Rattus norvegicus: one gene and its partner. The protein of the gene in region 1 purifies or fractionates together with the protein of each later gene. This does not show direct contact. Links are inferred from orthologs where the notes say so. Each region holds a gene or a part of one and is shown on either strand. Other genes may lie near its edges.

Region 1 (3,500 bases):
AGAGAGAGAGAGAGAGAGAGAGAGGAGCATCAGTGCGTCTGTTGGTGTTGGTGGTGGTGGTGGTGATGCACATGTGGAGAAGTCAGAGGATAACAGAAGAGTTGATTCTCCCTTTCCACCATGTACGTCTTGGGGATTGGACCTCAACTCATCAGGCTTGGCAGCAAGCACCTTATCTGCTGAGCCATCTCTGGCTTCTCATCATGTTGCTCCTAAAATTCTTGAGTTTTTCACTTTAAACATGGAAAATTATCAGCAGTTGGTGCCTGGATGCCACAGTTGTGCTTCTGGATGTCGTGTAGCTCTTCCCAGTCAGATTGATGGCTTTGCTCTTACATTTGTGTTTTAGTGCATGGCATGGCAAGTAAGTTTGTGTTGGTTTCAGTTTTCTTTTTAAAGAGCTAAAAGTTTAGAGTGGAAAACTTTAAATCCAACATGTTCAGTTTTATCTTAGCCAAGCAGTTTGTCTTGGTGAAAAACTGAGCCAATCTAGAGACGGGGATCTATAGAAATGATCACCAGCTAGGTAAAGAGTTCAACAAATGTCCAAGACCTGAGTGCATATTCCATGGTGGGAAGATGGAGGGAAACATTCTTGTTTGTGCTCCTCAACACCTTATTCTGTTGGTTACAGCAGCTTCATAGGTCATGATGGAGCTCCGCATGTCCTGAAGGATGCAACAGTTTTCTGTTTTACTTAATAGCATCTGTGATTATTATGTGGTGGGTTTATTCAGAGGGAAAGGGTGTTGTGACATGAACCACTGTGTGTTGAGACTGCTTGTTAGAAGAGCTGTATGGCTTGAATTTAGCAGCTCCTCACTATTCACTAGCTTGGTAGCTTATTATCCAGTGCTGATAGTCTTTGAAATAGCAAGTTCTCTATGTCTCTAAGCTTTTTGTCTTGTGTTTCTTTTGTTTTATCCCCCCACCCCCTTTTTATTAAAATGGGACTGATAGTGCTTTTAAAAAGATGGCTGTGTGTCAGATCTCAAGTGAGTCATGTGGTATACTGCACACAGTTTGCAGTAGCTAATTGTAGACGTTCAACTGATTGTAATTCCCTGCCTGGTTCCTATGCAGGCAATAATTCCTTAGTGAAACATGTAAGGAAACCCTTGTCTGACTTCTGCAGCTTTTTGCATAAGCTACAGTGACTCGGGACTCAATTCTTCCCTTGTGTCTATTCTGACCACCAGGTATCAAGGTTACATTGGTGCAGCCCTAGTTTTGGGGGGAGTCGATGTTACTGGACCTCATCTCTACAGCATCTATCCGCATGGATCAACTGATAAACTGCCTTATGTCACCATGGGTGAGTGTTAGGTTTTTCTTGTTTCAGACTGGAAAACAAATGGGCCTTTCAGAGAGCTATTTCCATCGTTGAGGGAGGCAACAGTGCATTCTAGTGATGTTGCTTAGTCAGCAGCATATGCCTATATATTCATGTTACTTCTACCTATATATTCAGTGTGGGGGTGGCGTTTGAGAGAGGGTTTTTCTATGTAGCCCTGGCCGTCTTGGAACTCATTTTGTAGACCAGGCTGACCTTGAACTCACAGAGATCCACCTGCCTATGCTTCTTGAGTGCTGAGATTAAAGGACTGTGCCACTGTGTCTGGTTGGCTTTAGAAAAAGATTTTTTATATAATTGGATAAAGAATTAAGTGAACAAATTTAGATAAAAACTCTTGGTTGTAAGGATTTATTTATTAGATACCCACAGACAATAAACAACTATAAAACTATGTTAATAGCAATGTAAGGAAGTAAAAAAATACTCAGCTAAAGGCTACTAGTGTAGGTAATATTGAACTGTGGTCACATCAGGTGTTACTTTGGAGAAACCAGACCAAGGATATATGGGAACTCTTTGTTACTTCTAACTATATGAGAATTTGCAATGATCTAAATACAAAAGGTTATGAATATCCTAAGAGGATCTGGGAGTTGTGGGCAGGCAGAAAGCAGTGGAAGCTTGGGCAGGTCCTGGGAAAAGGTGATATTGAAGTATACAGAGCCCTCTAAGCAGGTGGAAAGACTGAGTGGAAGTCACACCTTTCAACATGCTGGAACTGATAGAAAGTCTCTAAATCATTTTAACTTCTTACATTTATTTATGTGGGCAGGTACACATGTGCCACACATGTGGTTAGAGGACAACTTATGGAGTCAGTACTCTCTTTATGTGGGTTCTGGGGATCACACTCAGGTCATCTAAACTTGTGGCAAGTGCTTTTTACCTGCTGAGCCATCTCATTAGCCCAAGAGGCCCTTTGATGAGGTTAGAGTGACAGGGTCCCTTTTACTGGACTGTGGAGAAGCTTAGTTTCCTCCCTGTGAAGTGTCAAGTGATACCAGGCTGTTGTGAGTGGCACGGTACACAGGGGAAATCTGAACCAATGCCTGATCTACCAACAGTTGCAATGTTTTTTGGGTCAGACTTTTGTGTTTGTGGTTTAGCTCCAATTGCTCCTTTTGTTTGCTTTTGTTTTAAAATTTTTGGAGAGTGGTAAAAATTTCCTTAGACAAACTGACATTTTCAAATGAAAATTTATATTAAATTTCCAAATCAAATTGTGTAAATCTGGTTATCTGTGGTTGCTGTTTTTCTTGCTGTTTGCTGTCTTACCTTTCTGTCTTGGCTCTGGAGCTGGGAAGATGGTCTCTCTGCATAGTTGAAAGTTACCAGTTGGAGACTTTGTTGTACCATTGTGTGGTCTATCCCTGTACAAGGTGCTTTATAATAGATGTTTCCTCCGTGCTAGGAAACCAACCTTACAGCATGAGTGGGTCTTTGTAATTAATGTTTCTGTTTCAGAAAGGATTTCATATGGCTCAGGATGGCCTCAATTCTTTATGGCCTTGAGCTCCTGATCTTCGTGTCTCCACTTCCCAAGTGTTGGGGAGTGTAGGTGTGCATGACCATGCTTTCATATATATTTGGGTCTTTATAATTATCTTAAGGTGAAGATACTATAATTTAAAGATTGTTCTAAAGTGATTTATTAAAAATGTCTTTCTATTGAAGCACTTTTATTTTTCCCCTTCTAATTCCTTGAAGTGGTAGTAAAGGGAGAGTTTTATTTTGTTTTTTTGTGGCACCAGAGTTTGAACACAGGGCCTCAAGTATGGTGAGTGCTTTATCACTGCGTTAGGTACCAAGCCTCAGCCCTCTTCTTATTGTGAGACATTATCTTACTTACAAAGTTGCTTGGTTTGGCTTTGAACTCACTTTGTAGCCTAGACCGGCCTTCAACTTGTAATCCTGCTGCCTCAGTCTTTTGAGTAGCTAGTAATATTAAACTATGCCATCAGACTCAGCTTCATATTTTCTCTTAAAATAGGTGGGGTCTTGAGACAGCAGGGTCTTTGCATAGCCCTGGCCATTCTGGAGCTCACTGTGCAGACAAGGCTGGCCTTGAGCTCCAAGAGATTGGCTTTTGGAATGCCGGGATTGAAGGCCTCTGCCACCATGCCAGGCTTGGTTTCATTATTTT
Region 2 (3,996 bases), on another chromosome or scaffold:
AGGCCAGAGGCAGCAGAATCCTTACTCTGGGACACCTGGTCAGACTCCAGAGTGAGGGAAGAACCCTGACTATTCCCGTTCCCGCCTACTATCCCTCGGGCTTTCCAGTAGAAAGGACTGACCAGAAAGCTCCCCTCCCCAAGGGTTTTTACTTAATATTTAGCTCAGGCCTGGAGAGTAGAAGAATCCGCTAGGTCTGGCCCTCACCTCCAGCCTCTCTCCAAGGCGAAGAACTCTCCACCCCAAGGCACCACCAGACCATCCCAGGGGAAGTCTGCTTCCCAGTGAAACGCAAACTCCCCAAAAGGAATCCCTGCCCACGGCGTGCGCCCCTCGACCCCTTCTTTCGGTTCCGGGAGCCCGAACGGGCATCCCTCCACGCCAGGAGCCTCCCCAGGGGGTACCTGCTTCTCACCTTAGCCGCAGTCTCCTCAGGAGGGTGACCCCAGGACCTCCTTCAGTCAAGATCCCCTAAAGGGGAACACCCTCTTCCAGGAACCGCTTTCAGGCGCCTCCAGCGCGGGCCTCGGAGGAGAGCGTTCCGGCTGCTTCCCAGGCTCTGACCAACGCCACCCTCTCCAAGACCACTGCCCGGAGACGGCCACGGCCCCAGTCCAGTCTCTCCGACCCAGGCTCCAGCGGCTGTTCTCTTCCCTCACAGGCGTCGCTAGCCCTCAAGCACCCTCCCCGGCCACGTCCCCAAGGGGCTTCCCAGAGCAGCACGGTCGGGCTATGGCACTGACTTTCACTAGCTCCGGGGCCCACCGGAGGGAGGGGACAGCGACAGCGGCGCGACTCCTTTGTGACAGGTCCAAGAGAGCGGTAAAGATGGACGCGAGGACACGGCACTGCCATTACGCGCAGGGCCCACCCCCGCTTCGCACCGCCCGGGCCCTCCCTCAGTCCCCTAGGAAACGCCCCTTCCTCGGTGGCAAGCCCTCTCTCTCAGACAGCCAATCATCGTTCAAGGCTCGTGTCACGTGATCTCGCGGTTCTGCCCGCCACCCTGGAATGAACTGGTTAATCCTTTTGCCGAAGGGTGAACGGCCCAATCAGATCTCTCCATACGGTCTCGAAGCACCGGATTTCCACGAGGCGCTCGGGGAGGGAGAGAGCTGTTGATTGGACGATGCCGCCGGAAGCGGGGTGCAAATGTGTTGTGGCTGTAAGGAACAGGAAGCCCCGAAGGGTCAAAAGGAATACAAAAGCAAAGTCTGTTTGCCTCCTTTAAGCCGTTGTTCTTTCTTGGTTTCTTTTCTATTTTTTTAAGAGCGAGTGGCCTAGGCGGCGACGGTTTGCGTTAGGCGCCGCGGAGGTGAGGGAGGCCCGCCTCCCGCGCTCTGGTAGGTGAGTGTGGCCTGGGTCCGCGCCGGGAGGCGAAACCAGGCTTCTCGGCCGAGGAGAGGGTGAACTACAGCCAGAGTTAGGATTAGGGCCCAGGTTTGTCTTCAGTCCTTGGTCCTTGCTAGTGCCCGGTGTCCTGAGTCGCCCGGCTTGGGAGTTCGCGGTGCCCACCCCGAGCGGAACCGCGGGAGTCTGCGAGATGGCGTGTTGGTCGTGGTGGGAGGTTCCGACACTTTCTTAACGCGCCAGAACTGCCGGGCCTCTTGTCTTCTTTCAGCACTGTTCTGTTAGCTTGGAGCCATCAGGCCTAAAGTGAGCTGCTGCTTCTGTTCCACTAGGAACAGCTCCTCTCGCCTTAGAAAACGTGGAATGCCCGATTGAAACTCGTTGAATCCCGGAGCGTAGTTGCAGGATGGGTACATCACAAGTTTCCCAGTTGCAGTGCCTCGCTCATTCTCTTCTAATAGGAAGCAAGGCTGTGTACCTGTTTTATTAGAACACGACCGGTGGTTGAAATGTCTTGAGAGTTGGTGCCCTCAATGCCAATCCACGCAGAGGGGAAAAGGGAGAACTATTGTTCGTGGGAGTGCTTCTTGGAGGACCACAAGATCTGTGGCCCTTAGTTTTAAAATGCAAACCCTGTGCTGCATCCTTCAGGTAGTCTGATTGTTATGTCTAAAGTGGAACCCACAAAGTCTAATATGAGCCTGTTTAGGATTTACAGCGATTTCTTGAGTGTCAAGCTGTGAGGCAAGTTTCGTGGGTTAATTGATTTATTGATGCGTCCCCAGAGACATAAAATAGTTTGGTGGAGCTCAGTGTAGTGACTTGTAATCCTAGGACCACAGAGGCGGGGTGTGTGTGTGTGTGTGTAGGGGATGGATGTCAGCTTCCATAGCAAGACTGCTAGAAAAGAAAGCAGAATAACTTACAAGCCAAACTGGCTTCTGAAATATTTGAAAGCAATCTGTAGAGCTTTCTACGACAGAAGGAACTGAGTTGAAATAAAGGCAGCTCCTTTGTTTCTGTTGGAGCCTAAGATGAGCTATGAATCTGAAAAGTCGGATGGCCCAATTATCTTTGAAGTCGAAGTCTTAATACCTTTAAGAGGAAATTCTTTCTGGTTTTTAAAAAGGAAGAATTATGCGAAGGCCATTTACCTGGTTTCATTCTTCATTGTGACCAAACGTTTGCTTAGAGACAGTCTTCAACTGCAGAAACTGAAAGCCACCCATACTTTGACGGTGAAGTAATTTAGCAGCATGATTCAACTGTGAACTTGGATATAGTGTAATAAGCTTGTATGGCAGCAGGATTAATCCGTTTCAATGTGTTCGCCTTTTTGACGTCTTCGTTCTTGAACGTGAGTGTTTCACCTTTGTTTCGCAGTTTCAGTTATGATGCTCTAACTCATGAGTTGTTTTTTGTTTTTTTTCAGTTGTCTTGGTATTTGAATTTTTTGATTGTTGTTTTCAGACAGTCTCTTGTAGCCAGTCTGGCCTTGGGTTTGATGTGTATGGAAAAGGAACCTTAAGCACCTGTTTTGTTTTGTTTCTCTCAGGTGTTCAAATTACAGGTGTACACTACATATGACAATATTAATTAGCCTTTTGACGTTGGAATAGTGATTCATTTTGGAAAATTCTAGTAACATATATTGATACATTTGACTGCTTCCACACACATTTTACATTTTCATTTTCACTCTGTCTCCAGCTGTTTTTGTTTGCTTGCTTTTTTTTTTTTTTTTTTTTTTTTTTTTTTTTTTTTTTGAGGCAGGGTCTTGCTATGTAGCCTAAGGTGTTCTAGAACCTTAGATTCCTAAGATTTTTTTTGGCTCTGCCTCTTTGCAGACTGGGCAGTTTTGTTCATTGATTCTCTTCTATTCCAACTCTTTTATTAAACAGTCATCTTTGGTGGGGAGGTGTTTGTTTTTTGAGACAGGATCTCTCTATTTAGCCCTGGCTCTCCTGGAACTGGCTATATAAACCAGGCTGACCTGGAACTCATAGAGATCCGCCTGCCTCTGCCTCCCCAGTTTTGGGAATAAAGGTGTGCTCCACTGTGTCTCCTCCTAAACACTGACATCTTAAATTCAATTATTGCAGGTCTTATTCCTGAAGTTTTTGTTTACTTTTTTCTAAAGATAAAAGTACATTGTAGCTTTCCTTCAGAAGAGGGCATCAGATCTTATTACAGATGGTTATGAGCCACCGTGTGGGATTTGAACTCAGGACCTCCAGAAGAGCAGTAAGTGCTCTTAACCAATAATTCATCTCTTCAGCCCTTTTATTTATATGAGTACTCTGTAGCTGTCTTCAGACACACCAAAAGAGAGCTATCAAATCCCATTATAGATGGTTGTGAGCCACCATGTGGGATTTGAACTCAGGACCTCTGGAAGAGCAGTAAGTGCACTTAACCACTGAGCCATCTCTTCAGCCCCTTGTTTACTTTTATAACTTTAAAAAAAGTTTTATATTTTTTGCTGTTAATTTCAAGGCTTGATTTTTATTTTAAACATTGTAAGTATATTTGTTGTGTGATCCATGTATTTAATTCCCATAGATTTGTTTTTCTTATCCATTATTCCCAAGGTTTTCTTATCTCCCTTCCCTTTCAAGGTATAGTTCTTGGGTACCAGTTTATGAT

Evidence for each region.
Region 2: the proteins of Psmb7 (region 1) and Psme3ip1 purify together in Homo sapiens (co-immunoprecipitation; 3 studies listed by BioGRID and IntAct, with this or other methods). This does not show direct contact. The link is inferred for Rattus norvegicus from reciprocal best matches to the Homo sapiens genes PSMB7 and PSME3IP1.

What each region holds. Positions count from the first base shown.
Region 1 is NC_086021.1:42,813,971-42,817,470, reverse strand, and holds part of Psmb7 (proteasome subunit beta type-7), read left to right. Parts: intron 1-1,199; coding exon 1,200-1,315; intron 1,316-3,500. UniProt on the Homo sapiens protein: Component of the 20S core proteasome complex involved in the proteolytic degradation of most intracellular proteins. This complex plays numerous essential roles within the cell by associating with different regulatory particles.
Region 2 is NC_086037.1:10,406,356-10,410,351, forward strand, and holds the start of Psme3ip1 (PSME3-interacting protein), read left to right. Parts: upstream 1-1,196; 5' UTR 1,197-1,347; exon of another isoform or gene 1,348-1,656; intron 1,657-2,504; exon of another isoform or gene 2,505-2,707; intron 2,708-2,769; exon of another isoform or gene 2,770-3,996. UniProt on the Homo sapiens protein: Promotes the association of the proteasome activator complex subunit PSME3 with the 20S proteasome and regulates its activity.